Linked DNA regions of Arabidopsis thaliana. The protein of the gene in region 2 interacts with the protein of the main gene of each other region in a pairwise test. Each region holds a gene or a part of one and is shown on either strand. Other genes may lie near its edges.

The links.
Region 1: the proteins of ARF22 (region 2) and IAA32 interact in a two-hybrid assay, tested with the Arabidopsis thaliana proteins (2 studies listed by BioGRID).

What each region holds. Positions count from the first base shown.
Region 1 is NC_003071.7:111,800-127,363, reverse strand, and holds IAA32 (indole-3-acetic acid inducible 32), read right to left. Parts: upstream 9,347-15,564; 5' UTR 9,190-9,346; exon of another isoform or gene 8,996-9,189; 5' UTR 8,980-8,995; coding exon 8,832-8,979; intron 8,729-8,831; coding exon 8,477-8,728; intron 8,398-8,476; coding exon 8,289-8,397; intron 8,212-8,288; coding exon 8,145-8,211; 3' UTR 7,856-8,144; downstream 1-7,855. Other genes in the region: AT2G01220 (Nucleotidylyl transferase superfamily protein), read right to left, coding at 1,151-1,276, 1,378-1,488, 1,666-1,772, 1,981-2,090, 2,457-2,553, 2,657-2,813, 3,095-3,148, 3,239-3,299 and 4 more; AT2G01210 (Leucine-rich repeat protein kinase family protein), read left to right, coding at 5,630-7,100, 7,176-7,855; PDE331 (Octicosapeptide/Phox/Bem1p family protein), read right to left, coding at 10,068-10,929, 11,041-12,341. UniProt on the Arabidopsis thaliana protein: Aux/IAA proteins are short-lived transcriptional factors that function as repressors of early auxin response genes at low auxin concentrations.
Region 2 is NC_003070.9:12,550,512-12,567,186, forward strand, and holds ARF22 (auxin response factor 22), read left to right. Parts: upstream 1-5,493; coding exon 5,494-5,542; intron 5,543-5,618; coding exon 5,619-5,737; intron 5,738-5,949; coding exon 5,950-6,045; intron 6,046-6,141; coding exon 6,142-6,198; intron 6,199-6,294; coding exon 6,295-6,432; intron 6,433-6,510; coding exon 6,511-6,595; intron 6,596-6,686; coding exon 6,687-6,777; intron 6,778-6,856; coding exon 6,857-7,021; intron 7,022-7,131; coding exon 7,132-7,245; intron 7,246-7,334; coding exon 7,335-7,407; intron 7,408-7,480; coding exon 7,481-7,619; intron 7,620-7,723; coding exon 7,724-8,136; intron 8,137-8,223; coding exon 8,224-8,411; intron 8,412-8,501; coding exon 8,502-8,571; downstream 8,572-16,675. Other genes in the region: STOP1 (C2H2 and C2HC zinc fingers superfamily protein), read left to right, coding at 491-1,990; AT1G34380 (5'-3' exonuclease family protein), read right to left, coding at 2,328-2,427, 2,524-2,746, 2,860-3,094, 3,220-3,363, 3,447-3,788; AT1G34400 (uncharacterized protein), read right to left, coding at 15,481-15,784, 16,043-16,104. UniProt on the Arabidopsis thaliana protein: Auxin response factors (ARFs) are transcriptional factors that bind specifically to the DNA sequence 5'-TGTCTC-3' found in the auxin-responsive promoter elements (AuxREs). Could act as transcriptional activator or repressor.

The DNA.
Region 1 (15,564 bases), on a different chromosome or scaffold from region 2:
TTCAAAATTATTTTGATCTTTTTAATAGTATGAATATAATTTATTGCACAATGTTTTAAGCAATATGAGACCTTATACACTTTTTCATCGATTAAGTAATATATGTTTGTTTTAAAAAATTTAAATTACATATGCCGCAATAAATTTAATATTTTATTAACTATATGTATTTTATATAAAAATCAAAATAAATTAGAGATCAGAACAAATAAAAGTGAAAGAAAAATCATACATTTATATATAATGTATATAAAAAGATTTTAGGAAATTAGCAATTAATTGAATATAGTTAAATAAAGATAAAATTTACTTAAAGATATAAATCTAGAACAATAATTGTCTTAAAAAGATTTTGTAGAAAATAAAAGCTAAATACTATTTTAAGATTTTTGTCTCAAAATCTCTCAAAATCCTTACCAAAAAAGTATATGTAGTTGATAAATGCAAGTTTACTTCTTCTTTTTTCCTTGCCTCAAACTAAAACGACCCACACGCGCCCACTTTTAGAATTTTACGAAAAACGGCAAATTTCTGCATGGGTGCCCACAGATTTCGGGGAGGTGGCGTCGACGCGCTCAATCTGAGGGTCGGTAAACGACTTGCGTTTTGCAGTTAAAAAATCACGCGCTTCACTTTTGGGCCGACTTTTATATTTTCCAAGTATCCATTGAGATTAGTTTCCAAACGATTATAGGCCTACATATATTGGAAAAGCCCAATAAGAGCACAATGTAATGCTTTAATATTCATTAGCGCTGATAGCATTTTCGTACATGAAGCTTAAACTGTTATATTTGCAGAGACCTGTGAAATAACCAGCACAATTTGATCATTCGGTACTACTATTACAAGATTTTCACTAACCCTACTTATAGGTAGAGCCCTGGTAATATGATTACAGATTCTAATCAGCTCACATTCATAAATATTTAACAAGGCTTCTCTGTCACAATTCACAAATATTCGCACTCTTTAAACGTTTCCCATGCAACTCTGCAATGCTCTTTCGATGTCATGTGCAAATGCTCATACCATTGATCCGGATTCCATAATAAGAACAGAATGCAACACAATACATATCAAATCAAAAAGTAACTGCACTAAATAAATTGTCTTGCGAGCCAAGACTTTCAAGCGGGTTGAGAAGTCATTAGTTCGTACCACCCCCTTGTTTTTTTCTTATCTCTGTAGAGGATATATCCATCCGGAATATATCTGCTGGAATTGAAATAAACATGTCGATTATTTCCTCTGGAATATCAACATCTTCAAGAACCTGCAGAGGAGCAAGGATAAGGCATTAGGCATACAATCTCATAGACAACTCTCAAAGGGACTAAATTTGTATTGCTCTAGATTCTAGTGCTTAGGTCAAACCTTAAATACACCATCTACATTGCGGCCACCAACAAGGAAAGTGCAACCTGTCCGTTTGCAATCACCAAGTATCTCCAACATCCTTTTGATGCTTCCTTCATAGTACTTTGGCTGCAAGAAATTCAGTTTCTTAATCTTCTTTGATAGTGTGGAACAGGAAGATATAGAGCACTTCAAATGTCTTACTAAGTTTCAGGTCGCTCACCACAACAGGTAGTGTATAAATATAACTGTAAGGAAAAAAAAAAAAAAAAAAGAGGATCAGGGAACGGTTCAGTTTTTACATACATTGACAAGCCTCGCTGCAGTGTCAGCGCCAATTACAAAACTGCTTCCTGGGAAGAGTTCAGCTTTCTTGTAGAAGTATGGCTGATTTGAAACTATTATCGTCTTTCCTGCCAACCGGATACTAAACCAATATCAAATCATGGCACAAGCATATAGACAAAATAAATGCATTGGAAACAATTATAGCTCGACTCTGGATCATAAAACTGATTGGTCTTTCTCTAGTTGGAAACAATTGGATCATAGAGATACCAAAAAAGTGGTGCACAAGATTGAAAAGATAAATAGATAGTGAAAAATAAAGATCCGGCCTACCAACTACTTCAAATTGCTTGACACGATCTTTAATCTGTGCAATTGTAAGCGGTGGTTTGTCGGCATTTATTGCGGATATTTCAAAACATGGGTAGCCGCCCCCACAAACACTGCATCAACAAATCTGCTTGTGAGATTGTTTCTATTTTATTTTCCAGAGAAAAAGAACAGTTATCTGATTTGTTGTTTGGAGATAGTAAAATTGTCAAAATGCCAGAGGCCTCTCCAAAATCCAACAACGGAATCAATTCATACAGTCACAACATGTGGCCACAACGAAAGATATTATCAATTACTACTCTTGCATAATATAGCATATCAGATTTAACTAAGAAACATAGAGACAGCGAAGAGTCAAAAGACACAGAAGACTCAGGTTATACATAATGATTGACATTAACAACGGTTATTCTTTTAAACATGTTCACCCGAAAGAGAAACAGGTACTCGTTATCGTTAAGCAAATACTAGCTTACCTCATAGCAACTTCTAACAGCTTGAGATGACCTTCATGTAATGGGTTAAAAGAGCCAGGTAGTATAATCTTTCTGTCTTCATCAGACCCGTGTGCTTCTGCCACAAAGTTAGAACTACATCATTAGTGGCAACAAATGCCAGATGAAGTTTGAAAAAAAAAATTCTAAAGTTTCATTGGGACAAATGACCAAAATCTTACCCCCAGAAAATGGATAAATCTTACAGCACAAGTGCCCATTTATAAGCTGCTCTAGTTCTTGTTCTTCAGTAAAGTGGGTTTCAGACTCATAAGGCACCTCAGACTCGGTCAAGCCAGAGTCAAGTGTCCCAGAAACTTGGCATGCCTTGGCCATAGCCTAAGATAATGACCAGAAAAGGTTTTAACAACTCAGTCCATGATGAACCTCAGAAAACAATGCGTTTGGAGAATGTGGAAATTTTGGATTAAAACTGGCCTAGAAGAATATATAGTCTAAATAATACAAAATTATGAAAAAGAAATGTCTGCAGGTACTTGTTTGTAATACCAGTAACCAAACTAACTTGTCACTATTCCTAACAAAACTAGAGAAAGGAAAATCAGATAGCAATGGCCTAGGCAGATTAGTACCAGGTTGTAATTAGCTTAGTAACACACCTGGATCAGTGCACAGCTTGACACCTTATCTTCTTCTTCTCGGCTCCGTAAGTTCTAAAGTTTTCCACAATAAGAATAACATACATTGAGTAGTTGATAGAAAAGAGTAAAGCAATATGGGAGAGAGAAGGTTGCAGCAATCACCTTAGTTAGAGTGACTGAAGATTCCAAAATCCGGTCGGATGCTCTCATAGACAAAAAGAACCTATACTCTCGCGCAACAAACAAAAACTATGAGTGACAGAAAGAATAAAGGGCCATGCTAGAGAACTAGCTTATTGTGATAGCTTTCATTTCAAGCAAACAAGTATATTACTATAAAGAGCAGGAAACAAAATTGCATAACCTGTGATCTCCACGCTTAGGACGAGAAGTTACCAATGATCCCGTAAACCCGACACCGAGAACCGGATATCCTATCCACAAGATTAAGGAAGTTACACCAATCCACATTACTATATTCCAGGACTTCTTGCTAACAAAGGATGGTGAAGTGAAGAAAGAGAGCAAGTACCTGGTTTAGAGAGCTTAAGCGCCCGATTGTAGGCTAACAAGGCCATCTCCTTGGCCAATGCTTGGCTACAGTGTTGGCTCGGAACCTAAAAGAGAGCGAACGAAAATCAGCTGATTAATGGAGAGAAGAGAAACATCGATTGCTATAATGAAATTGAGAGGTTTATGAACAAACCCTGCCGAGTAATTGAACCATAGATACTCTCGAATAAGGAACCACGGACTCGAGAAGCGTGTTCGACGCTCCAGGAACCGACATCAACCAACCTAAAGCCTGAAAGAGAATTCAATTTCGATCACTCAAAAGCACAGAGCAATCACATACTTGTGTATATACGAATCAATCATAAAGAGAGAGAGTGAAACCAGAGAGGCACCGCCGCAAAGATAGACGACGGCCTGCGTCGGAGATGAGTGAATGGCTTCGACGACGGTACGGATCGCAGCGTCTCCCATTGTTTCTCTCGGTTTCGTCTCCTCCCATTGCCGTGCCAGCAAAAAGCCAAATTAAGCCCCCCAAAGTTTCCGTAATTTCAATTTATCCCCAACAGTTTCCGTAATAACAATTCATGCCCAAACGTTTCCATAATTACAATTTATGCCCAAAATAATTTTATATTGCACTAAAACCCAAGTTGTTTGATTTACTAGTATGTAGCCTCGGAGTCGTCGCCGTTAGTCCGTGAGGAGAAAATAGGCCCACTCTGGCACACTCTCTCTGGGTTTAGGTTTAGGTTTTTTTGGGGCTCTCTATCCTAAGAAACTAGGAGACATCACACTTCACCAAGTCTACTTATCGACAATTTTATCGTATCACCATAACGACAATAAGGGCCGGACTAATGTTTGTACACATGTCCTCTCCTTTTACCCTTTTAAGGCTTTAGCTAAATCTAAACCACATTTATAATCGTTTATTATATGAATCTTCTTCTTGCGAAAAAACATGTCAAGCTACTATTCTAAGTAAAATAAGAAAGATGAGCTGTGATTTATATGGTAAAGTAAGATATAAAAGAGGTAGTACTAGTACTGTAAAAGCAGACTCGAGGAATAAAGAAAGCAGGAAGAGCGTGGTGGTATCTTGTGGCACCTTTCTTCTCTAGTAAACTCCACTGTTATGTTTGCTCTCTCCCAATCGTAACTAGTTTGTTCAATGCTCATTTGAAACTACACTTGTTACTACTTGTTACTACACTTGCTACACTCTATTAATATGCATCACTTGGTATTTTATGGAGTTTCGTGCTAGAGCAACATCATCTAAGAAATAAAAAATGAATGATACTACTGTAGTAGTAATATATTGACAAGATAGATTAATAGAAAAGGACAAACACTGTAAATGTTACCTACATTGACACTTGACAGATCAATCAAAGGACCCCAATATATTACTTTTCGGAATAAAACAACAATCATGACAAAAGGTATTACAAGATGTAACTATTTGAATAAAGATATCTGCATTTGTAACATTTTGTATATAGGAGAGATTACAAAGATATTGGGTCTGATTGGTAACCAAAAGCTGGACAAGTTTTTTACCTGTTAGCTGAAGCTATTAGCTTTATCGGAATAGTGCAAAACTGTTAGAAGAAGCTGTATAAAAAAGCTGTACAAAAAAGCTAAAAGTAAAACTTTTTGTAACACTTTTAATAAAGTTTTTATGATCGATTCAAAACTGTATAAAGCTTAAGTTTGTTACCATTCAAACCCATTAGATTAGTGGTCAAATTAGCGTATGGATTACTTCGCCATGGCCTTCTCTTTTCTCCAACTTTCACCTCTTTCTTTGGTCATTTCTTTTTTTTTTGTTAATTCTCTTCTCCCAATGCAAAAACAGAGCTCTCTCTCTCTTTCTCTCTACTTTTTGTATTCTTTCTTTCTCCTTTTTCTTCAACGAGAGTATCTTTTTCACTTTACTCTTCACTCCATCAATATCACACTCTTCTTGCTACTATCTCTCTTTGCTTTGTACAAAGCCAACACTCGTCTTTTTGTTCTAATTTGCATCTGATAATGTTGGCCTCGCTGATCATCTTCGTTGCTCTTCTCTGCAATGTGACTGTCATAAGTGGCTTAAACGACGAAGGCTTTGCGCTCTTAACGTTTAAACAAAGCGTTCACGATGATCCTACAGGTTCTCTTAACAATTGGAACTCATCAGACGAGAACGCCTGTTCGTGGAACGGTGTAACTTGCAAAGAACTCAGGGTGGTGTCTCTAAGCATTCCAAGGAAGAATCTTTACGGTTCTCTCCCTTCGTCTCTAGGGTTTCTCTCCAGTCTCCGTCACTTGAATCTCCGGAGCAATAGGTTTTATGGGTCGTTGCCTATTCAGCTTTTCCATCTTCAGGGACTCCAAAGTCTAGTCCTTTACGGCAATTCCTTTGATGGGTCATTGTCGGAAGAGATCGGTAAGCTGAAGCTTCTTCAGACCTTAGATTTGTCACAGAATCTCTTCAACGGGTCGTTACCACTTTCGATTCTGCAATGCAACAGACTTAAAACACTCGATGTCAGCAGAAACAACTTGTCTGGTCCTTTGCCTGATGGGTTTGGCTCAGCGTTCGTCTCTCTGGAGAAACTCGACCTCGCCTTCAACCAATTCAACGGCTCCATCCCCAGCGACATTGGAAACCTCTCCAACCTTCAAGGAACTGCTGATTTCTCTCATAATCACTTCACCGGCTCAATCCCACCTGCCCTTGGAGATCTTCCTGAAAAGGTTTACATTGATCTCACTTTCAATAATCTCTCCGGTCCCATTCCTCAAACCGGTGCTCTTATGAACAGAGGACCAACAGCGTTTATCGGCAACACTGGTCTATGCGGGCCTCCATTGAAGGACCTTTGCCAAGGATATCAACTTGGCCTCAATGCCTCTTACCCTTTTATCCCAAGCAACAACCCACCTGAGGATTCTGATAGTACTAACTCTGAAACCAAACAGAAATCAAGTGGTTTGAGCAAAAGCGCCGTCATTGCCATTGTTCTCTGCGACGTGTTTGGTATCTGCCTTGTGGGTTTGCTTTTCACTTACTGCTACTCAAAGTTCTGCGCTTGTAACCGCGAGAACCAATTCGGAGTCGAGAAAGAATCCAAGAAAAGGGCTTCTGAGTGTCTGTGTTTCCGTAAAGACGAATCCGAAACGCCATCTGAAAACGTGGAGCATTGCGACATTGTTCCCCTCGACGCTCAGGTTGCGTTTAACCTGGAGGAGCTGCTAAAGGCGTCAGCTTTCGTTCTGGGGAAGAGCGGAATCGGAATTGTCTACAAAGTGGTTCTAGAGAACGGGCTCACACTGGCCGTACGGAGATTGGGTGAAGGAGGGTCTCAGAGATTCAAGGAGTTTCAGACAGAAGTTGAAGCCATAGGGAAACTAAAACATCCTAACATTGCTAGTCTTCGAGCTTATTATTGGTCTGTCGATGAAAAGCTTCTCATCTACGACTATGTTTCCAACGGTAACCTCGCAACCGCCCTCCACGGTGAGTCACTCTTTTCTCATTTCAAGATGCATTATTCAGTTACATCATCGTAAATGTGTGTGTGTGTATGTGCAGGAAAGCCGGGGATGATGACCATCGCTCCGTTGACATGGTCTGAACGGTTGAGGATAATGAAAGGGATTGCTACAGGGCTTGTTTATCTGCATGAGTTTAGTCCCAAGAAATACGTCCATGGAGATCTCAAGCCAAGCAACATTCTCATTGGACAGGACATGGAACCTAAGATCTCAGATTTTGGACTAGCACGGTTAGCTAACATCGCTGGAGGATCTTCTCCGACCATACAGTCTAACAGAATCATCCAAACGGATCAACAGCCGCAAGAGAGGCAACAACACCATCACAAGAGCGTATCTTCGGAGTTCACTGCTCACTCTTCTTCTGGATCCTACTATCAAGCACCTGAGACTCTCAAGATGGTAAAACCTTCACAGAAGTGGGATGTTTACTCTTATGGGATCATTTTACTGGAATTGATAGCGGGTAGGTCTCCCGCAGTGGAGGTGGGGACATCGGAAATGGATCTAGTGCGGTGGGTACAGGTATGCATTGAGGAGAAGAAACCATTGTGTGATGTTCTTGATCCTTGTTTGGCTCCTGAGGCAGAGACGGAAGACGAGATTGTTGCTGTTCTTAAGATTGCAATCAGTTGCGTGAATAGCAGTCCAGAGAAAAGGCCTACCATGAGGCACGTTTCTGATACGCTCGACAGATTACCCGTGGCCGGCGATTGAGACATCTAGAGATTGCACATAAAGCTTGTTTTGAAATTTGAAGCTGCAATGTATTTTGAAGCATAAGCCTGATGACACTAATGTGGTTACCGTTTGTTTTGTTTTATTTTGTTCTTTTATTTGTCCCAGTCTTGTTGGTGGTTGGTTATTAAGATGTCCCTCTCTTCATAATCGTATTTATAGCTTAAAGCTTCCATTACATCAGATATTGAACAATAGAACCACAAGTGAGCTAATTTGGATCTTAGATAATCAGTGAACGCCCCAGAAGAAGCTTGGACTTAAAAGCTTAAAAGGGAAGAAGAGCATCGTTTCTTCTTGCGATTCGCATCCGATCCACGCTTTCGACAAACTCCCTACAGGTTTCAGACAAATTACAAAGTGGTTAACTTAAAATGCTTAGTTTTTGTATAGAGAAAATGTAAGAGCTTACTTCCATGGAACATCCCCAACATTCCTCCAAATGCCTTCTCTGTCTCTGTAGACCAAAGAGAACTCAGACTCAGTCTGGAACAACCTCAATCCCGACACGGTCTGCATCCCTGCAGATTCGAATTAATGTGGCAAAACCTTCTGAAACATACTTGTAGCTGGAAGCTTGGGGGTCAGAACACGGCTTACCAAACATATCATTGAGCTGAAGAGCAAGAGTTGCGTAAGCTCCTTGATCAACAAGGCAAACCTTGCGCCCTACCACTAGGCCATCCAGATTTACCTTTACGTAAGCATATTTTCCTCTGCTCTCTCCTTCATTATTGTAATATCCTTGGGCAAGTCTTTGGTGTCCAGTGTCCTCACTCTTCAACTGTGTAATGCTGTTATAGCTGGGCTGCGACCAGTCTATGAGCTCTCCATACCCGTCGAGACCTATCACTTTGATTCACATATAGATATTGAAGGTAGCAAGTTGAGGATTAAGAAAACTAACTAATGATGAGGTGAAAGCACGGCTATTCAGCAAAAAAAAAAAACTCACTTCGCGCCGGTGGGAGGTAAGTTTCATGTTGTATGGTCCTAAGGCTGAGGCCTAGATCGATTACCCCACCACCCTTTTTGGTCTGTGAGTAATATGTATGAAACTTGGAAGAACCTTTGAAGAAGTCTGCAGGTGTGTTTGGGTCCATTGATGCTTTTTTATTTCTAAAGATGCAGAGAAGGGAAAGTGAGATGAGAAAAAGAGAGCTCACTTCTAAAGATTTATAGTATGAGCTGATGCTAAAAGAGTGTCAGAAGAGTTAAAGAAAAAAAGACAGAATTGCAGACATGAAAGAGACATAAGACAAGAAAAACCCATTAAGATCCAGTTGGTTTGAAGCAAGGGATGGGGAGCTGACCACAGAGAGAGATTTGGTTCAGATCTTGTAATCCAACCAGGTCTGCCAATGCTTCTGATGCACAAAGTCACATCTCAACTCTGTGAACACTGCAGAAATATTATCTGGGACTATTGACAACTCGATTCAAAGTGAGGCTCTGTGTTGCTTATGAGAGAATAGTGTAGTGCAAGAGTAAAATATCTTTGAGTCATGTATAGAGAGAGAGATAAAAAGGACTGGGTTTGGTGTTTAGGTAAAGATACAAATGCCTATCTCTTTCAAAAGAGATAGTTGTGTTGCTAAATTGCAAGACAGATCGATTTTGTCACTACCTTTTTCACCCACACCTTGTCTCTTAGAAGTTGTAGGGTTTGTGTGTACTTTTGCAAGACCACACACATGTTTTAATATCTGTACCTATGCTCCCATGGATAGCAAGAAGCCAGACATACATTCTTCCAAATATTAAATGTTATACATAACATTTCAGAATCTTTCTGAACAATATTATAGCCTTCAAAGTCTCTTGAAAAAACAAGATAGAGAGATGATGATCAAAAAAGTGATACATTTACAAAATGAAATGAATGATAATAATATGATATAAGATCCAGGAAAATGGTAAAGCACTACATGTATCAATTGCAACTATATAATGTAAAATCCCACCAAGAAGCACTATTTATTTGTTTTTTTAATTTACTCACACAACACTTTTAAACACAACCCATAATACCAAACTTAACATGACACCAGACTCTTTTTTTGATGCAGCAACTTGTAAAAGAAGAGAAGAAAAAAGAAGTAAAAGTTATATATTTATACGTTTAAAAACCAACCCGGGGTTTTCTTCCTCCAAAATTTTGTGGTTCATCTTCATGTGTTCCTTGTGTGTGTCACAATGGCTGTGAACTCCGGATCTGTTGAGTCATGTTCTCAGCTGGAAGCTTAGCAGCAGCAGAACCATCAGGCATCACCATGGCAGGTGGAGGCCCAGTCATTGTCTGGTACTGTGCATGTCCCATAGGTTGAGTGTAGTATATCTGTGTATGAGCATTGTCGACATATTCATATCCATAGTTTGGATTCCCAGCTGAACCAGACTGAGGAGGGTGACGGATCTGCGAATACCCCATGAATTGCTGCTGGTTTGTGGGAATCTGGTGAACCATCTGAGCACCGCCCACACCTGGGGCTGTTGTGTAAACCCCAGCCTGTCCCATCTCAGGTTTGCCACTGCTAACACTTCTCATGTGGTTGTTAGGAGGTGGAGGCATCATGGTAGAGTTGGGATGGTTAGAGGGGATAGACCCTGCAGCATCGCTCACACTTGGAGATTGTGGCACAGGCATACTGTAGGGCCTAGGTGGGACAGGAGCAGTGACATAATAAACAGGATAAGGCTGCTGATCCAGTCGACCTGCGTGTTGATGGAAGGACTGTTGAGGCTGTTGCGAAGGGTAAACCTGGATGTAAGTCGGGACAGGAAGGCCGCTAGACGGATGGTGATGAATGTATTGAGGAGGAGCAGCAGTGTGTATGAACTGCTGCTGTGGCTGAGATTGTGCAGATTGTTGCTCAAACTGGGGGTGAAGGATATAGGCTGGGTCCTGATTCTGATGCTGTGACAAAAGTGTGCTTGGATCTGAGGGATTGATCATACCAGTAACAACGGTAGAGCCAGAAGGTATCTGAGCAATTGGTTCTTGATAGACAGATGGTCTTTGGTGAAACATTGGGTTGCTCATACTGCTATCACTGAGGCATTCATTATATAGCAAACACACAATCAGAGTTCTGACCAATCTTAGTTCTTCTATAGCATCAAATTAAGGCTCATGAGGGTTCCAATATAAGAAGAAAGAGTACCTGGAAACGGAATTGGGTGATGGCAGCTCGTGTCCACCACCGCTATTTGATTTCAGCTGATGAGCCTGCTGAGGCGGTAGATTCTGCGGCTGCGATCGCGGAGTCGGAGGCTTCCTGTATCCAGCCTGCACGCCGTGATCGGATCTCTCGTCATCTGAGTAAACCCTGGCCTGGAACTCATTAGAGACGGTGGCTGCAGTCACAGGCGCAGCAGGAAGGGCGATTGTGACAGGCATCGGCGGTGGTGAAGAGATCGCAGCAAATCCGTCGTCATGTAGCTGATGCTTGTTCCCGACGTTGAATCGTGCGAACTGTTCTTCAATTCCCAGATTTCTCTGATCTGGCAAAGTCCTTACTCCGCCTGGTTCCTCTACATGGACACGGATCGGAGGCAAATTGGCGAGCGAGGGAGACGAAGAAGTGGAGCCGAAAGAAGAGGATGTATCTAACATCGGAGAATCCGGTAAGCAGTTCACATCTTGGCCTCCTTGCTGTTGTTCTTGCTGCTGCGGCGGTGGAGGTTGCTGTTGCTTGGCGCTTTTAACAGAGCCATCATCACCATCTCGATTGTTGTTGTCACCGGAATTAGAACGGAGAGCAAGAGCATCATCCAAACCAAGTAAACGATTGACGTTAGTATCAGAATCTGAGAATCCTCGATTGAGAAGACCGGCGCTATTGAGTGCGTTGAGGAACCAATCGTCGCTCTTGGCAGAGCTCTCAAGGATCTGACCCATAGATTGAGTAGCCTCAGGCTTGGAGGTGAATAGAAACAACCGGAGACGCGAAGGTTTGGTGGAATTGGAAGCGGAAATGGTACGGTCATACTCTTCGATCATGTTGTCGAGATCTTCGTCGGTAGTGACGGAGATGAGAGAGTCAAGGTCTTCGCTAGGTAACTGGTACTTGAGGGTGAAGGAACGACCGTCGAGAAGCGTGTTGGAGAGACGAGCGATGAGAGAAGGGAGAGAGGAGTTACGGTCGACGACAACGATGCGAGTGTCACCGCCCATGTAGCAGAGAGACTTATCGTGAGGGCGAGGAAGGATATGACCGCCGTAGCTACACATAAAACGAAGTTTAGAAGAGACGGCGCTACCACCACCGCCACCGCCGCCGCCAGAAGGAGCAGGAAGGTCATCCCAGCCATCGGTGGTGCGAGAACGAGGGGAGGAGTCGAGAGATTCGGGGTAAGAAGAAGTCACGTGAGGAGGTAGAGGAGGAGGAACAGGAGCAGTGGCGGCGGAGATGGAGGTGGAAGCCACCGCGGTGGAGGACAGAGAAGAAGGCGGTGGTTCCATTTGCAGAAGAAAAATTAAATTGAATTTGATATTTAGAGAGAGAAAGAGTTAGTACTTAGTAGTAGTATAGCTGTTAGTCCACGACTTGTATGTAAATGTAGACTACAGCTGTTTTTTTTTTCTTCTTTTTATTTTCCTCTTAAATCTCATTTTTGGCATATTTTACTATTTTTACCAAACAATTATGGTTAAATTTATTTCTCTTTCAGTCCAATTTCTTTCAGTTTTTTTTTTTTTATAATGACATTTTAATAGAAAATCATGAAATTGATAAGAATGTTTGTGTGTATTACCTTAATAGTGTTAGTGAATTTGTGTGTATTACCTTTCAAAATTGTATTTGTTCGTGATGGTTTATCTGATGCCATGTATATCATTTTGTGTTGATAAGAATGTTTGATGCAATTAAGACCAACATGCTCTTTCAAATGGATGTATGTATGATCAACTATATAAACCATCCGTCAAGCAGTAAGTATAAATTGTGTATGCGAGTTAACTGCGAATCGAGAGACCGAGTTCTCAAAAATGTTGTTACATACGTGTCGGGATTTTTCATAGACATTACTTCCTTTATATCAAAATATACGATGTTTTAGGATTTTTTTTTAAAATATATATCATGTTTTACAAATTTTTAAATACATTTGATATTTTATGATCATTTTTATTATGCAATCTTTTATATCATTGACAAATTTTCTTGAATTAAATATTAAATAATTATTTTTTAAAAAAATATTTTAATACAAAGAGAGTAAGATTTATCACTATCTTAAAATTTTTGTTATTAGTTAGGAAATAAAAACTCACACTATAATGATCGCCTCAATGTTATTTTGTCGACTTTCTTATGGATACATCTAATGCATTATCAACTATATAAACCGTTTGTCAACGAGTAAATACAATTTGTGTATGTGAGCTAACTGGAAATTGAGAGACGGAGATTCCATAAATGTGGTTACATATATGTCGGGATTTTCCATAAACACTACTTCCCTTATATCAAATTATAAGATGTTTTAGAAAAATTTTAAAATAATATATACTTTTTACCAATTTTTATGCAAATTTTAAATATTTTGATATTTTATGACCATTTGTATTATGCAGCCTTTATATCATTGGCTGAATTTTTTTGAATTAAATTATTTAATACTTCTTTTCAAAAACAATTTATTTTTTTCAAGTGTATGCATTTTAGCTAAAACATCCTACCTTTTAATACAAAGGTAGTATTTTTTTGTTATTAGTTAGAATGTAAAAACTCACAATATAATGATCGCAAATATGATTAAATTTAACGTATCATTAGGCTATTGTAGTACGGCTGGTGACAAAAATATTTTATTTAGTAAACTAGTATACCCACTACAAACAGTCAAACAATGTTAATATAATTTAATTAGTTAATTGGTTATTTTGTTAAAGAAAAGCAACAAACTGATGATAATTTAGTTTTCTACTACTACTGTATATTAATATATATAAATATATAATATTACCAAAAAGAGTTATAAAAAAAACCCAACGGTTATAAGTTATAACATACAACAAGGTCACATGAAAATGGTGAATAACCCCAAAACAAATATATTTTGGCACATTAGCAACAAATGCACGAGATTATTACCTTTTCAAATCACTTTAATCAACAATTTAGAAAGGAATAAGATGAATAGAGTTTCCTAAAGCAAAGTAATGAATAAAATTGGACGATGATATGATTATGGAAAGCTGATTCGTAATTACTTTGATTAGTAAAAGGTGAGACATTATAAGCGTTACTAATCAAAAGTTGTAATTAAGGAATCAAAGAAGTTGTGGGTCACATTATTTGACAGCAGGCCTACTAATTGGTTCCTCGCTGGAATCTGCCAAAGAAGAAGAAGAAATCTCTCTACTCTGTATCATCTTTCCACTGTGATCCTGTCCGTAGATTCCTCCTTATTTTGCGATTCAGATTGCATCCGACGGCTCTTCACGTACTACTACTACTGGTATTATTTAACTATATTTATTAGTTACAAAAGGAATTATACCTTTCATGGCTTTTAAATTAAGTCCTTAGAACATTTTCAATGGAGTTTTCTAAGCTTAAGAGTTAAGACCATTTCTAATATTTCTAATGGGAGTTTCTTAACATAGGTTTTTTAAAATAAATTAAAGTATAAGTATAGATAAATAATAATTTTTAATGAAGGATTTTTTAAATTTAAAGAAACTTAGCCCAATTGTTTTTTAACTAAAAAACAATTGAATTAAGTTTTTTCAAATTTAAGAAACCCATCTAATATTTAAATAATATACATTTTTTATTATATATTAAGAGTTTTGTTTAGAAACTACCATTAGGGATGCATCCTCAATGGAGGACTCTTAATTTTTTCTTCTAAATACCTATATATTATTATTTTAATATAATTTACTAAATAATTAAATTTTAATTTTTAGAAAAAAAAATAAACCAATATAAAAGAGACATGTGTCTCATTAGACTCTTATATAAATTTTAGATAAGAGTTTTTTTTTATTCTCTATCTTCCTATTCTACTTTCATATGCAATAAGAATTACCTAAAAACCCTTCTTAAACAAAATTAAAATGTAAATATAGATAAATAATATTTTTAATTATGGGTCTCTTAAATTTGGTGAAACCAAGACTAATTATCTTTTAGTTAAGAAACAATTGGCTTAGGTTTCATCAAATTTAAGAGATTCATGTAAGATTTAAATCATATAATTTTTTTATTATTTGTTTAGAAATCCCCATTGAAGGTGTTCTTAATATTCACCCTCTGCCTAACACCTTCATAAATCATAATATTTACAAATTGAATAACATAAGATGACATTAATGGTTTCAACCAAAGAAATTGCCACAGACATGAAGAAGCTAGTGGTTTGCATTGGATTCGACCTCTGTTGGAGAGTCAAAGAAAGGGTCGTGGGTAAGACTCGCGTCAAAGCTCCAGACGGCGCTCATGCAAGCATTCGTTACAGTTTGCATTTTGCAAAGTCTAATGATAATTACACCTAACGAACAAGTTAATCATCGATAAAACCCTACTCTTAATCTTTTGCACTTTACTCCACCACCTTTCTAGTCATTTACACTTTGCTAGCCCTTTTTATTTATGCACCCACATAAAAAAAAAAGTACGATTTCATTCTGACCTAAATTATGAAAATGATAATGATATCACATCATTTCTTAA
Region 2 (16,675 bases):
ACTTTCTCTATCTATCTCTCTTCTTAAAGCGGCCATTGGTGCTCTCCAAGTTCCATCTCAAGCTTTTCTTCTTGTGGGTGATTCAATCTCTCTCTTTCTATTTTTTTTTTCATTTCTGTTGATTTAGTGATCTTTGATTTGTGAAACTTTGTTTTTATCGTGTTTGTTTTTGATTTAGGGTTTTATTTTGTTGTCGGCGAGTTTTGATTTGATGATTTTGATGATTTTTTTTTGTTTGACCGTTTGGTTTTTGGATCTTAAGAGTTATGTGTGAAGATTTTTTTTTGTTTGTTTGGGTGAAGAATTTGTGTTGATTTCGATAATTTTGAGTTTGATTTTGAATCTTAGTAATGAAATTTGATTCTGTGAAGTGTGTATGATGAACTTTGAGCTGGTCCTAATTCTGATTCTGATAAAGATTTGATTTTTATGGTTTCTTTTGTAGGTTTTGTTGTTCTCTTAATTGAAAAACAAGATCTTGAACTAAAAAATGGAAACTGAAGACGATTTGTGCAACACCAATTGGGGAAGCTCTTCTTCGAAATCGCGAGAGCCGGGTTCATCAGACTGTGGGAATTCGACATTCGCAGGTTTTACGTCCCAGCAGAAGTGGGAAGATGCTTCAATCTTGGATTATGAGATGGGTGTGGAGCCTGGATTGCAAGAGAGCATTCAAGCAAATGTTGATTTCTTACAAGGTGTTAGGGCTCAAGCGTGGGATCCAAGGACGATGTTGAGTAACCTTTCTTTTATGGAGCAGAAGATTCACCAGCTGCAGGATCTTGTTCATCTTCTTGTTGGTCGTGGTGGGCAGCTTCAAGGTCGTCAAGACGAGCTCGCGGCTCAGCAGCAGCAGCTTATAACGACGGATCTTACTTCCATTATCATACAGCTTATTTCAACTGCAGGTAGTCTTCTTCCATCTGTTAAGCATAATATGTCAACAGCTCCGGGTCCATTCACTGGGCAGCCCGGTTCAGCCGTGTTCCCTTATGTAAGGGAGGCTAATAACGTTGCTTCACAGAGTCAGAACAATAACAACTGTGGTGCTCGAGAGTTCGATTTGCCTAAGCCGGTTCTTGTTGATGAGAGGGAAGGTCATGTTGTGGAGGAACATGAGATGAAAGATGAAGATGATGTGGAAGAAGGAGAGAACCTTCCTCCCGGTTCGTATGAGATATTGCAGCTTGAGAAAGAAGAGATTCTCGCACCGCATACTCACTTCTGCACGATATGTGGCAAGGGTTTCAAGAGAGACGCGAATTTGAGGATGCATATGAGAGGGCATGGAGATGAGTACAAAACAGCAGCTGCTCTGGCGAAACCGAACAAAGAATCCGTACCCGGGTCTGAGCCGATGCTGATCAAGAGGTACTCGTGCCCATTCCTTGGTTGCAAACGTAACAAGGAGCACAAAAAGTTCCAGCCTTTGAAAACGATTCTATGCGTGAAGAATCACTATAAACGCACCCACTGCGATAAAAGCTTCACTTGCAGCCGGTGCCATACCAAGAAATTCTCTGTCATTGCAGATCTTAAAACCCACGAGAAGCACTGCGGGAAAAACAAGTGGCTTTGTTCCTGTGGTACAACATTTTCAAGGAAAGACAAGTTGTTTGGTCACATAGCTCTGTTCCAGGGACACACGCCTGCAATCCCTCTTGAAGAGACAAAACCATCAGCCAGTACATCTACTCAGAGAGGGAGCTCTGAAGGCGGGAACAACAACCAAGGAATGGTTGGCTTCAATCTTGGTTCTGCATCAAATGCTAACCAAGAAACCACACAGCCTGGAATGACTGATGGGAGGATATGTTTTGAGGAGTCGTTCTCACCAATGAACTTTGATACATGTAATTTTGGAGGGTTCCACGAGTTTCCGCGACTGATGTTTGATGATTCAGAGAGTTCTTTTCAAATGCTTATTGCGAATGCCTGTGGTTTCTCGCCCAGGAATGTTGGTGAGTCTGTTTCAGATACTAGTCTCTAAGGCATTGCCATATATATGATAAGTTATGTAAGATGTTCTAGTTTTTAGCCTTTTAAGCAGTTCTTTTGTGTCTGTAATTTTGTTTTCGCCATAATAATAATATCAGAATAGCAGAAAGTTGGATTCTTTTTTTTTTCTTACTTATTATGGTTCATTTTGATTTAACCAGCCATGTCCATAGTGATAAACAAATTTAGTAACAAACTGCACATTTTGATTCATATCTATGGAAGTATATAACAAAATCAGATATGAACTACAATGTCTAAAATTACTTTCAAGCTCACAAAAACTAGCTATCAGCTAAAATGCGAGAGTGTGCTTTAGCTTGTCAGTATCATCCATGCAATGTTGAGAAGAAGCTTGACAATACTTCTGAATCATTGCTTGTATCTCTCTCCATCAGCCATTCATTTTGAATCTGTACCCTCACATCTCTATGATACAAAAATGATTGAAGAATCAGCAAGAATATCTTACAAGTGATGCATAATCAATCAAAATGAAGGGGTTTAAAGTGATAAAGAAAGAACCTATTCAAGGCAAGAACTTGATAGTTTCTTCTCAAGTAGTCTGCGTATTTCGTAAGGGCCTCTTGAGCATATGGTCTCCCCACGGTTCTTACAGCTGCTGCGCTTAGTAAACTCTCCAGAGAACCATGTTTTCTCACAAGTTTCATCGCTGTTTTCCTTCCAAACGCCGGGACCATGTGCTGAATCCCCGGAACTCCATCAACTTCATCACCCATTATACATCCTATCACAAGAACCAGCCGGATTGAGTTGGCTTTGACACTTAACAAAGAAAGTTGACAGAAAGACAAGCGTCAAGAGACATGTTTGTAGCCATAAGTCGATTTAGGCACTTACGAAAGCTCAAATCAGACTGTGGATCACAATTATATTGAGCATGGTAGTGCTTCAAAGTATAAAAGGACCATCTTCTGAGATCTGCCAATGGAATGACAATCTGAACATTTTCTGAGATCAACTGCTTAAAGTCTTTATCAGGCGATGCAATAACCGCACGATATCCTCTTTGCACAGCTTGTTCCATTAGCGTAGCTACTACATCGTCTGCTTCATGCCCTTCTATTCTAACAACCTAACACATAAACAAGAATCCAGTAAGATCATTCATTCACTTCTACGGCTAATTCACTTAACTATATACACGCTACAGAATTGAGCTAGTCTATTGAACATTGAGTATTAAACAGTTTTACCCACTGGCACATTGCATTTTCTAAGAACTTCATCAACAAACTGATGTGGCCTCTTAGAGTATCTCCCATGATTTGGTGATTTCCTATGAGCTTTATATGAAGGCAACAATTCTCTGCGTCGTTGGTTACCTTCTTCTCCATCGATAACCTACAAAAGGAACTATCTTTCATTGATCGAAGAAGAGAAAAAGCTTGCGGAAGAAAGAATCAAAGAAAAGGAGAGATTTTTACAGCTATGACAGGATCAGTGAGGCTGACTTGAGAGAAGAAGAGTGAAATCCAGTGACCAAAAGCTTGCGAACTGGGTTTGTTTCCTTCGTAGCAAAGTGGACTAACGTCTAAGAAGAATACCCTTTTATTCTTCTTCCTAATTTCTTCATTGTTGCCACAGAGAACATCTTTCTGAAGAACTTGCACATTACCTGTTCGATGAAATGTCTCAACGGAAGAGTGAGAAGAAAAGGAAGAGGACGAGGAAGAGACCCATTTCGTTCGTGAAGGTTGTGTCTTGTCGATGGATTTAGTTGAGAAGGAGAAGAGAGAATTGGGTTGAATAAATCCTACTGTTATCATCGTCGTCAACCTCTGCGTATGTTCTACAAGAATACAAGTCAATTGATCAAATATCCCATAGTCGTTTGTTATTAGTTCAGAGATTATTATGTTTTACGTAATGGGCCTTATAATGGGCTCTAAGAGTGTAGTCTCAATGATAGCACTAGCATCACCATTGTTGTAATTGGTCAAATTTCTTTTCTCTTTTCATTTCGATTTCCTCTCATATATAATTTTAAAAAGGATTGTTTAGATCGATCATCTACATTTTTATTTATAAATTATAATCTAATTTTTCTAGATTAGATAAGCGTTCATATAATTAGTTTTTAATTAATGTGTAGTTGACAACAAATAAAATTTTAACTCTCACAAGAATAAAAAATTTACAAATTAAATTAAGTAAGGTAAACTTATTGGATCAAATAAATCTATACAAATAAAAATCGTATTTTTTTTTGTTGTTGTCTGACTAATGTGTTATAAGTTTTTTTTTGTGGGTGTTATATTTACGGATGTCAAGTTGGTTAAACCAAATCCAACCAATCTATATCCATACAAATTTAATTTCTAATGGATAATGAGTCAATCTAATTCATTTAGCAAATACTTTGGATAAAACCATAAGTCATTTAAATTATTGAATTAATGGATAAATAAGTTTATTCAATTAATAACTTTTCTATAGATGATAAAAAAAAATATTCTATAATCTAAATAATTATCATTAATAGTAAATAATAACTATTATAATCATCATCATACTACCATCATCATTCGTGATCATCATCACTATTAATGATCATCTGATCACCATCATAAATCATGATCATGTTTTTGGTGAAAATATCACTGAATCACATTTTGAAAGAAAATTACGAAGTTATATTTTTGGCAGAAATATAAAGAATTACTTTTTTTTGCGGAAAACATGTTTTAGACGGGAAAATCATTGAACACATTTTGGCGGAAGATGCGAAATCATGTTTTTGACAGAGATACAAAATACGGAAACACGTTTTTGACGGAGAAGCAAAATAAAAGCCATCAATATAAAACATAGAACAAAATGCTTAGATGACATTCGGGTTGAGAGGCAACGAGAAACCCTTGTACATTTTTGATGGAACTCATCATATTATAATCCACACCCCCTTATAAGGCCAAATCACAACCACCACCGGGAATCCACCCCTGATGCCAAGGACATCCCAATAGCCATGGGATACATGCAAATTCACATCACAACTAAATGGAAAGGGGAACATGCCCTTGGAAATTTCTCCAAATATCGACAATATATACTTATAGAACCCCGGTTTATAAGGAATCCTTATAAACTTATAGAGGAAGCGAAAAGAAAAATCTAACATGAGATGTACCATAGATCCCATATGAAAGGTCTGATCACGGTGTAAGTATTAAAACTGTATTATATTACTCAACTTATATATGAATAAAGCATATGTTGATTTTGGTAAGTTAATGATTTTCTTATATGTAGTCAAAATATTAATGACATTTCTCTAAATTACTTTTATTAATTTTTGGTAACCTTATTAAATTTAGTATTCAAATCTAAGAAAGTATTTTAATACTTCTTACCTATAAATGTGATATTCTGTGCTCTCATGGTCGCGAGAGAAGTTGAGGAAAGAGAGAAAGTTGTATAATAATTGTTGGGATAACATATTTTGGTATACCGATCTTTAGATACGAGCTTATGGAAAGTGGCAACATTGTGAATGCACAACCTGAATTATCAGGCATAAGTAAGAAATTTTGACTTTTTATTTTATTTTAGTGAAAACTTGTTTTGGTTATAATGTTTTAGTTTTTGTTCGGCAGTTGATGGATCCAAGAGTTATATGTACGAGCAGTTATGGAAACTCTGTGCGGGGCCTTTGTGTGATATTCCAAAACTTGGAGAAAAGATTTATTACTTTCCTCAAGGCAATATAGAGCTTGTGAGTTCTCTCTCTTTTTTTTTTTTTTTTTTTTTCTCTCTCTCTCTCTCTCTTCTTTCTCTCTCCCTCTCTTCTCTCTCTCTCTCTCTCTCTCTCTCTTTCTTCTTTCTCTCTCCCTCTCTTCTCTCCCTCTTCTCTCTCTCTCTCTTCTTTCTCCCTATCTCTCTCTCCCTCTCTCTCGTGTATCAAAACCTTTTGACGACTTTTTTCAGGTTGAGGCATCTACAAGAGAAGAGTTGAATGAGTTAAAACCAATTTGTGATCTTCCTTCTAAGCTTCAATGTCGTGTTATTGCTATTCAACTTAAGGTATATCTCTATTATGTTTTACCGAATACGCATGATATATATTTGATTTCATTGTAAAAATAAGTAATTGGTTAATTGTTTGATGTTTGATTTTAGGTGGAAAACAATAGTGATGAGACTTATGCTGAGATCACTTTGATGCCAGATACAACTGTAAGTGAAAATTTAGTATTTCTCTTTTATTTTCAGTTAATTCTATTTTTTCTCTTATTATAGCTGATTGATTTTCTGATTTTGTTAAATGTTTAGCAAGTTGTAATCCCTACTCAAAATGAAAATCAATTTAGACCATTAGTTAATTCCTTTACGAAGGTTTTAACGGCCTCGGATACAAGCGGTGGATTCTTTGTTCCAAAAAAACATGCCATTGAATGTCTTCCTCCCCTGGTATTTAATGTTATAGTTTTTTAAACGAATTTGAATTTTAAACTTTCATTAGACATTACATATTAAATTTTGGTTTAGGATATGTCTCAGCCTCTACCGACACAAGAACTTCTTGCTACAGATCTCCATGGTAATCAATGGAGATTCAACCACAACTATAGAGGTAATAATTCCTTTTATTCATATAATTCAAACACAACTATTGAGGTAATAAATCCTAGAGAAGTAACTAATAATCTTCTTATCCCATGCAGGTACACCGCAAAGACATTTGTTAACAACTGGTTGGAATGCATTCACAACATCAAAAAAATTGGTTGCAGGGGATGTTATTGTATTCGTTAGGTATATTATTGGTTTTTTTTATATAGGGATCTTTTGGTTCTTGAGTTTTGGATTTTAAACTATTTACTTGTGGTTTCAGGGGAGAGACTGGAGAGTTACGAGTTGGTATCAGACGAGCAGGACATCAACAAGGGAATATACCTTCATCAATAATATCAATAGAAAGTATGAGACATGGGGTGATTGCTTCCGCAAAGCATGCTTTTGATAACCAATGTATGTTCATTGTGGTTTACAAGCCAAGGTAATTCAAAGAACCATTTGAACTCACTTTTAAGATTATATTGATTTATCAATAGATTAGTTCCTTCAACATGTAGGTTTATATATTTTTTGTGTCTTTATAAGTATCAGATCAAGTCAATTTATTGTCAGTTACGACAAATTCTTAGATGCTGTGAACAATAAGTTCAATGTTGGTTCAAGATTTACAATGCGGTTTGAGGGTGATGATTTCTCTGAAAGAAGGTAACATTAGATGAAAACTTTTTTCTACTTAAATATATTTGTAATGTTTAATATTATCTATGATAACACATTTTGTTCTATTGATTAAGATATTTTGGGACAATTATTGGAGTTAGTGATTTCTCTCCTCATTGGAAGTGTTCAGAGTGGCGCAACTTAGAAGTAAAATTTCATTCACACTTTAAAACATCATTTTAGGAATACGTTTTTGAATGCAATAAATTTAATCTTGCAGGTGCAGTGGGATGAATTTGCATCATTTTCGAGACCTAATAAAGTGTCACCCTGGGAGATCGAACATTTAATGCCTGCGTTAAATGTTCCGCGACCATCTTTGCTCAAGAACAAGCGTTTACGAGAAGTTAATGAAATCGGTATAAAAAGAGACTCTTATAATCTTTTATTTAAAGAATTAATCTTCTATTTAATGAATTTGAGATTCTTAAATACCTTCTCAATATTCCTGTTTTATATACAGGTTCTTCATCATCACATCTCTTGCCTCCTATATTGACACAAGGACAAGAAATTGGCCAACTAAGCGTGGCCTCCCCGATGAATATTTCTCTCACTTATCGTGATACAACTGAAGATGTTATGAATCCTTCTAGATTGCTAATGAGCTACCCTGTCCAACCAATGCCCAAACTAAATTACAATAACCAAATGGTTACACAAATAGAAGAAAATATAACAACCAAGACTGGCACTAATTTTAGGCTGTTTGGAGTCTCACTGGTCACTCCTTCAGTGATCAAAGATCCCATTGAAGAAATTGGCTCGGAGATTTCGAAACTTACTGAAGGAAAAAAGTTTGGTCAAAGCCAAACTTTGAGATCACCAACAGAGATCCAAAGCAAGCAGTTCAGTTCTACTAGAACTTGTACCAAAGTAAGTATAAGATCAATATATTCTTATTCTTTATATATGAAACTTTTTCTCATTGTACTCAACTCACGCAATCTTGATATGGAACAGGTTCAAATGCAAGGTGTAACAATAGAAAGAGCTGTGGATTTAAGTGTTCTGAATGGATATGATCAGCTAATACTAGAATTGGAGGAGCTCTTCGATCTCAAAGGCCAATTACAAACTCGCAACCAATGGGAAATAGCTTTCACAGATAGTGACGATGATAAGATGCTTGTTGGAGACGATCCATGGCCGTAAGTTTCTTTTCTATTTCTATCGATTGAAAGATTAGTTAAAATCTTGAGAGACGTTGATATTTCATTTTTTGTGTTGTTTGCATATAGTGAATTCTGCAACATGGTGAAGAAGATATTGATATTCAAAAGAGGAGGTCAAAAACTTGAAGTCCAGTAAGAGTCTCTCAAGTTGAATTAAGAATCAAAACATATGTAATAAAAGGGGTCGAAAATGTTACCGGTGTCTTGTCCTATTTTTATTTTTCTCTTATTTGTTGTTGCATGCATTTGTCTTATGTACTTTTGTTTCCATCGTCCATAAATAAAATAAAATTCCCTTGTTGTCGTGATATAGAGCTTTCTTTCTAATTCATACAATATACATATCACATCTACATTCTAAAAATTTGAGTGTAGTATTTTATTTTATGATATTTTGAAAAGAAAATTGTGTAACACGAAGTATATAGTCATTCAATAAATTAAAGATTTTACTCTACCTATTATTGTACTTGCAAAACCGGATATTTTAAAGACATAAACAAATGATACTGCTAAATATGTTTATATTTTTAGTAAATATTTCCTTAAATCTATCACTACAATTGTGTCACCACTCACAACTAGTTAATATATATATATAAATTTATGGGAAACTTGGGAATTCGGCCAATTCATATTCAATTAAAACTACTAAATCAAAAAAAGTATTGTGTGAGTAGATATTTCAACTGTCATGATTAAGAAAAATTTATAAATAAGGAAGTAGAGGCAGGAAAGATATAAAAAGTTATCATAGATCGGGTGTAACGGCATCACGAGTATTCAGATTTTGGTAAAGAGTTTTTTCTTCATTTCACATGCTTGAATTGTATTAAAACAGTCAATAATGTAGATTTTTTTTGGGAGATTAAGGAATAACATACTACTATGTGTTTGTTGCACAAGAAAATATACTTTGTGATTTGGAAATTTAAAATGTAACTTATATGAAAAATCAGAAATGTAAGCGGTTTTATGGTTATAAATATGGACAAAATTGATAATGTCAAGAAGAAGGAAGGAAGAGAAAAGGAGGGAGGACCAAATTGTATATTTCTAACTTAAAATATATTTTTTGGGTGAACAGAAATTAATATGAATAATCACTCTTGTAAAAATAAGTTTGGTTGCATAGATGCGATATATTTGTTTAATAAAAGTTTCAGTTTCTATATGCAAGAGTACTACAAAAAATAATAAAACATTCTATTTTCGAATGCATATAGTAAGTTTTATTGCATTCGAGTAACGAACAAATAAAATCATATTCAAATATACGTCATTGTTTGTACATAACAAAAAGTATAAAACACACTTGAACATATCGATAATGGTAGTAATGCATTTATACATTTTAAAACATCTTTGTTATCGACAGAGAAATTTTGAATATCTTTTTTCCCATATATTAGTTTACTAGTGTTAAAACTCGTATTACGTACGGCCCAAAATATATTAAACCATTTAACAAAGATAGAAATGTTTAGATGTTTAAACATTTAACAATACGATTTAATAAAGTCGAAAATGTTTAATTTTGATATATTGATGAATGGTGATGAAAAAAATGAAGAGTAAGCCAAATGGTTTGGAGAAAATCCCAGCCGAGTCTTTTGTTTCTTTAGCTTGTATAATACAAAATCTGAATAATTGGTGTGATGCGAGTAATGGCTTGACGGGAATCCACTTGGTGCGAGTAGAGGAGTCTCAATGGTATATGATCACTTGTAAAAGACCTAGAGAGCCTGCCAAATCAAAGAGAACTTTGTTAAAGATAATAAAGCATTCCAAAAACCGTTGTAAACAGTGAAACAACATTGTAATTTGTATAAATGATATGATGAAAAGAGATATACCCTTCATCGACTATGATTGAAATATGTATATAGCATATGAAAAACCATAAGAAATAAAGAGTTGGAAGTTTGAAAAGATTAAACAATTTCTTGGCTACTTAATAAAAAAACCAGAAATATGATATGAAACATAAGTAAATGGAGATGCAACAAACCTGCAAAATTGATAATAAAAAATCTGTTTAGGGTTGACCATAAGAGAAGTGAATTTACCTTCAAATTTGCTCTTCTTCGAAAATGTTTTGTGCTGCAACAAAGGATATATGCATAACTTGCCATTGTGTTGGAGTGAATGGTGTTTAAGAAGATTCATCTCCATGGTAATGTCATAGATACTGAAAACGTAAATATAAAATTCATTATTCTGAAGACTAAGAAAAAATGTGAAATAGATAATTTGATGAGACTTGTGATTGATGAAACAATGATGAACAAAGTGAAAGCAAATTTGTGAATTCCGAATGCATAATTTGAAAATCGAAAGAATTTAAAATAGAGAATTTGATGAGACATGCAATTGATGAAACGATGATGAACAAACCTAAACCATAATTGAGAAATACAAAAAACAAAACAAAATTGTAAACTGCAAAAAGAAGATGAGACATGCAATTGATGATACCCTAAAATCAGAACATATTATCAGGATTAATAATTTAGGTCCCTCCATAGTGAATAATCATACATTTTTTGCCAACAGTTTATTTTCCTTTGTCTTCTTTAGGCTCATCTCCTTCGTTTTCTCCCTTCTATTTGTTTTTGGGATAAAAATTCAAGGTCAAGGATATTAGACCTTTGATCTTTTATTCTTTTTTGAAGAATTTAGATGTGAAACATGAGTAAAATCCATAGGCATCTTCAACTGAGTTGACAAAAATAAAAGAAAAGAATATGACTAATCGGCATAGGATGTAGTGACAATTGATGAGGAAATTTATAATTGGAACCAGAGAATCATAAAACAGTTCAACAATTACCTGGCGAAGGAGAGAAATATTGATTAGAAATTAAAGTGAATTTATTGGAGTTAAATAGAAGATGAATCAGTTACAAAGTAGCTTGAACCTGGAGGTGTTAGTGGGAGCAAAATTAGGAATTAGAATTCTTTTTACATTTTTTGGAGATTTTATAGGACACGATAGTCGACATATGAGAGATAAAAAGAAAAAAAACCATGTAGAAAACTAAGAATTAGGATGGGCAATTGGACTTAAAAAAATTGTGATGGGCTTACAATGTATTTTTTCTGATTTCACGTAGCCCAATTTTGTTAGGCGGAGAATTGGTTTTTCTTTCTTTTGAGGCTTTTTTTTTCTCCACGATCTCAAAGTATTTTGTTTAATTCCTTTTACAAAAAATTAATTGAAAAATAAAAATCTAGGTAGCAAGTTTTTACTGGTTTAGTGACTTGTGCTTTATAAGATAAACTAGATTTTAACCCGCGGTATACCGCGGGACAATTTATTTTTTAAAAGTAATATATATTAAAATTTGTAAATTTTATCTTTATAAAATATTTATATTTTACAGTTTATAATTATTATTAAGTAAGGCTATACCACGAATCTATGAGACAATTGTTACAAAACTGAAGTTGTAACCCCTATTAAAACAGCATATTAATAATATTTTAAAATTTTATAAATATTGATTCAAATACATCCACCATATAACTCAATTCCAAAATAAAACCCGTTCTATAATTTCTTTACCCGTCCTGTGATTTGTTTTTTAAAGTAGTAATTTTTAAAATTTAAGAATTATTTTTTATAAATAAAAGTTTTGCAAATTATATCATTCTCTAATACATTTATATTTTATATATGGTAACATTATACATACCACATAACATTTTTGGTTTTATATAATCTTTTCTAAATTAGGATGATTTGATATGTTTAATATTAGTGGTCTTAAAAATAATAAATTAAAGATTTAACCGTATTGAAACGGTGTATTAATTATATTTTACTTTTTTATTAATGTTGATTCAAAAACCCGTCACTCCAAATCCGTCTTGCCAAAAAGCTATTTATTTTATTAATATTAATTTTATTAATATATGACTCTGAATTATAATCTAAACATTTTAGCTAATAACATAGGAGTATACCATTTTTATTTAATAGGGGAATGTACCATATGACCCGAATGCACTTTTACCCAATTCCACCAAAAAAGTCTTGCAAAAATACTATAGAGATAAAAAATGATAGTCGGTTTTGATAGGTATAAGATTAGCAAATATATTAGTTAGCTTAAATTAGTTAAAGAATACAAATTGAAAAGGTATATTACACTTTATTCGAATATAGTATCAAAACTTATATAACACAGAGATTTGATAAATTTTTAATTGTTGAATACTTTTTTTGTGCTAATTTTTATGTGATTAAGATTTAATTTAAGATTTAATTGATTTTGTATATAAAATATTAAAAGTAAATTGTGAGTTGTATATGTTTTGTTGATATTATCTATATTGTTTAGTGTTTAAGATTATACACTTGTAGTTTGATTGTTAATTTAAGAGTTTTACCTGTAGTATACCATCTTGTATTAATATCGATCTAAACCCGTCAATTCTAGGATTTTCTAGCTTGTATTAACAATTGAATTACATCATACACATAAAAAAATCTAATATGTTATTAATTATTGTAGTATATAAGATTATAAATTTTCAATATAATATGTATGAAATTGAATATAAATATTTTAAATTATAACTCGTTACTCAGTAGAAAATTTTCTTAAATCTATTTTTCATCCGTTATAATACTTTTTTATGTATTGAACAGTTTATATTCGTTTTCAAAAATTCAAATTATAGCATATGCGAAAAAACTCTAATTATTTTTTTATAATGATGATATTATTTTTCGCAAAAATAGAATCATATAAAGATGAGAAGTGAACTATAATAATTAATAAAAAATTAATATGATAATTTAGATATCAAATCTAATTTGTTGATTTTAATAGGTTACTTTTTTGGAAATTAATAATGTATTTCGTTTTTCTAATTAAATTAAATTAATTAAAATTTAAATATCAAATCTTATATGTTGATTTTGATTGGTTATTATTTTTGAAAATTAATAATATATTTCGTTTTTTATTAAATTTAATTAATTAAATTAGTAATTGATTTTATTATCCTTAAAAAGATAAATTAATTTACTCTTTAAAATTTTATTTCTAATGGCATACCTATGTAATTACTTACAAAAAATAAGGTTATATTTAAAATGTACTTCCCAAATAATATAGAAGGATGATTTTTCAGTAACGGTTTATATTTAATATAATTATGGATAATATGAGCATTTACCATATGACTAAAACTTTCATGGTGAGTGTAGCTGTCAAGTAGCCTATTCAGCACGTTTTTTGAAAGATCTAAAACATGGTACTGACTTGCCAAATAAAAGGGATACAATTATTTCGTTTAAAGTGTCAATTTCTTTTATAGTGGTATTTTCTGATTCATCAAGCAACCATCGACCAGTTCTAGCACTCAACACTAGTCATCTACTACGAAAACACCAATGAGTGAACTAACACCTTAATCATATTTTTACATCCGTGAAAATACCCAACCCATAACACGTAAATACACTCTACCCACAAACCAATGTATGAACATTCATGAACTCCATAGTAAGAATTCGAGAATCATTGGAGGTGGTTCAATGTCCCTCTTACCTTCTTTATCGGCTTCCTTCTTTGTGACAATGAGGGCTCTCAGCAGCTTAGTCTCATTTCTCTCCCAAAACATTTTCATTCATAAATGTTACACTCCTATTTATAGGGTCGGGTCTTACTCGTCCATAAACTCTGATTTTCATTTTCATTGTATTATACTTTCAGTATCGTTTTCTTTCTTGATTATGCATTAATTATTAATTCTTTTGCCTTTCATATACCAACATAACAGTTTATAAGTTATCGGCGTTCATTTCAGGATTTTATCTTGTTCTTAAACAATTATTTATGATTTTAACTGATAATTGGAAACACATGTAACAAAACGTCACAAAGTATGGTGACTATCTACTTACCCAGTTGATGATTATTTGTTTAATGTGTGTGTTTTTATCATATATTTGCTCGTATTAGTTTGTTTTGATATTTCTTTTGGTGCTCTATCAAGCTTCGACGAGCTTGTGTCTCTATCTTTTATTTATATATCCTCATATACTTTATTTTCCAAACTTGCTATTTGGGGTTCTCCGAATATAAACAATCTTCTTATATTTTTCTAGTTTGAATCAAAAAGTTGGTGCACAAAAAAAAAATTATATTTAAAAACTATATATTAGTTGGGAAGTAGATAATGTTATTAAGTGAAGTGTCTTTTTAATTTTATCACTTTATTTACAAAAGAAACATCCTTTTCATCTTTTAAGTCTTTCGTATCTTCACTTAGTTATGTTATAGTTAAAGAACATATCATATATACATTTTTGTTTTTTTAAGGATACGTAAGTGTTTTCACGCCCGACCTGGACTGCCCGGTTCGACCGATTTACCCGCAATCTAGATATATTTCCGGTTTGGGGTTAGTGCTAATACCCAACAATTTCAAACCCGAGAAAATCCACAAAAACTCACCATTCAACCGTGACCCGGTGAACCGTTTGAACCGACCGGGTCTGGGTTTTAAAAAATTTATTTGATTTTGGAGTAAAATATAGTATTTTAAACTCTATTCAGTCATTTTTAGAAATATTTTTACTTCTTAAACTTATTTGATGTTTTAGATTTTGGTAAAAACTTCACAATTTACTTTTAGAGAATGAATGAAATTGTGAGAGAGACATCCGAGAATAGTTGGTTAAATTCGCGATATTTTATGAAAATATTAGTACTTAGACGCTTTTTGGAAAGTTAATGCAGATTAAGGCACTTAAATAGAAGAAGGCACTTTGCCTTGTTAAATTGTCCAATTTGCCCTCAAACTTATTTTCTCTTTCTCATTAGCAACATTTCTTCCAATCTTCGCCATTTCTCTTAAGAAAACTTCTCTTCTTCATCTCTCTCTTTTTCCAGAATCAAAATCAAATATTATAGGACAACCTCAATATTCAAAATTCAAATTTGAATCTTATAGGGTTTATCATCATCTTCCATTTCTTTCAACAATCTATCGGTGAGAAAAAACAAGACTATCTTTGATTACCAACTCACACTCCGCTTCCTCCGTAACATCCAGCCACCTCCCTCACGGCCACCACCACCGTATCCTTTTTCACCACAACCTCCACATGATATGTAACCTTTGCTATATCTCTCGTAACCACCACCGCTTCCTCCATTTCCGCCACCACATCCTTCTTATTCATTACTGCCTCTGTTGCGGTATCCGTCACCACCTCCAGTGGACGGGTTGGTACATCCACCACGGGCTTCTCCACCCCCTTGAGCAAATAGGTGGTGTAACGACCGCGTCCCGCGTTCATAAAGAAGCCAGGTTGTTTTAGGAGAAAACTAGACCATGGTCAAGAAACGGACTAAAATACTTAGTCGGAAGAACGAGAAAGTTGAAGCTTAACCAGTTAGGTGAGCTGGACAAACTAGGATGAACTAGCTAGCTAAGCTAGGTGAGCTAAACCAGCTGGAAGACTAGCTAGCTCAGCTAGGTGAGCTGACCGACAGCTCGATTGAGCTTAGTGAGCTGATCGTGTACTGACCCAGCTGGGTGGTCCGGTCAGCTGACACTCGAGCTGGTGGACTGTGGTAGCTCACGGGTGAAGAGGTGTCTCGGCCAAAAGGTGTAAGGTCGAGCGGGTACCAACGAACGGTTGCATCGCCCAATAGATGCAAGGAACGGATGTGACCTTTTGGAAAGAGGCAAGGAACGGATGTGACCTTTCGGAAGGGTGCAAGGAACGGATGTGATGCTTCAGGATGCATCCATTCGCCCCTATATAAGGAAGGACGCCCAAGGCCTTTAGGGCATCTCACATCATCTCACAATCATCCATACACCACAAAACATTCTTAAAAGAGTCCCAACACATCCCGAAGTTGTTGGTCGGAAAGGGGGTGCGGCTCGGCGAGTATAACTCGACCGAACTGATGCGCATGCTACCTCCCGGTCCAACGGTTTGATGGAGTGTAGAGGATGGAGAGGGTAGACCGTTCGTCTTAGAGACGAATCGGATCTGGTAGACCGATCGTCGGATCGGATCAGCCAGACCGATCGTGGGACGGATCGGATCGGCCAGACGGATTGGATCGGACAGACCGATCGTCGGACGGGTCGGATGGGACAGGCCGATCGTCTGACGGAACGGGTCGAACAGACCGATCGTCGGATGGGATGGATCAAGAAAAGTGTTTGAGGAAGCACAAGGATAAGTGCATCCGAACACACCC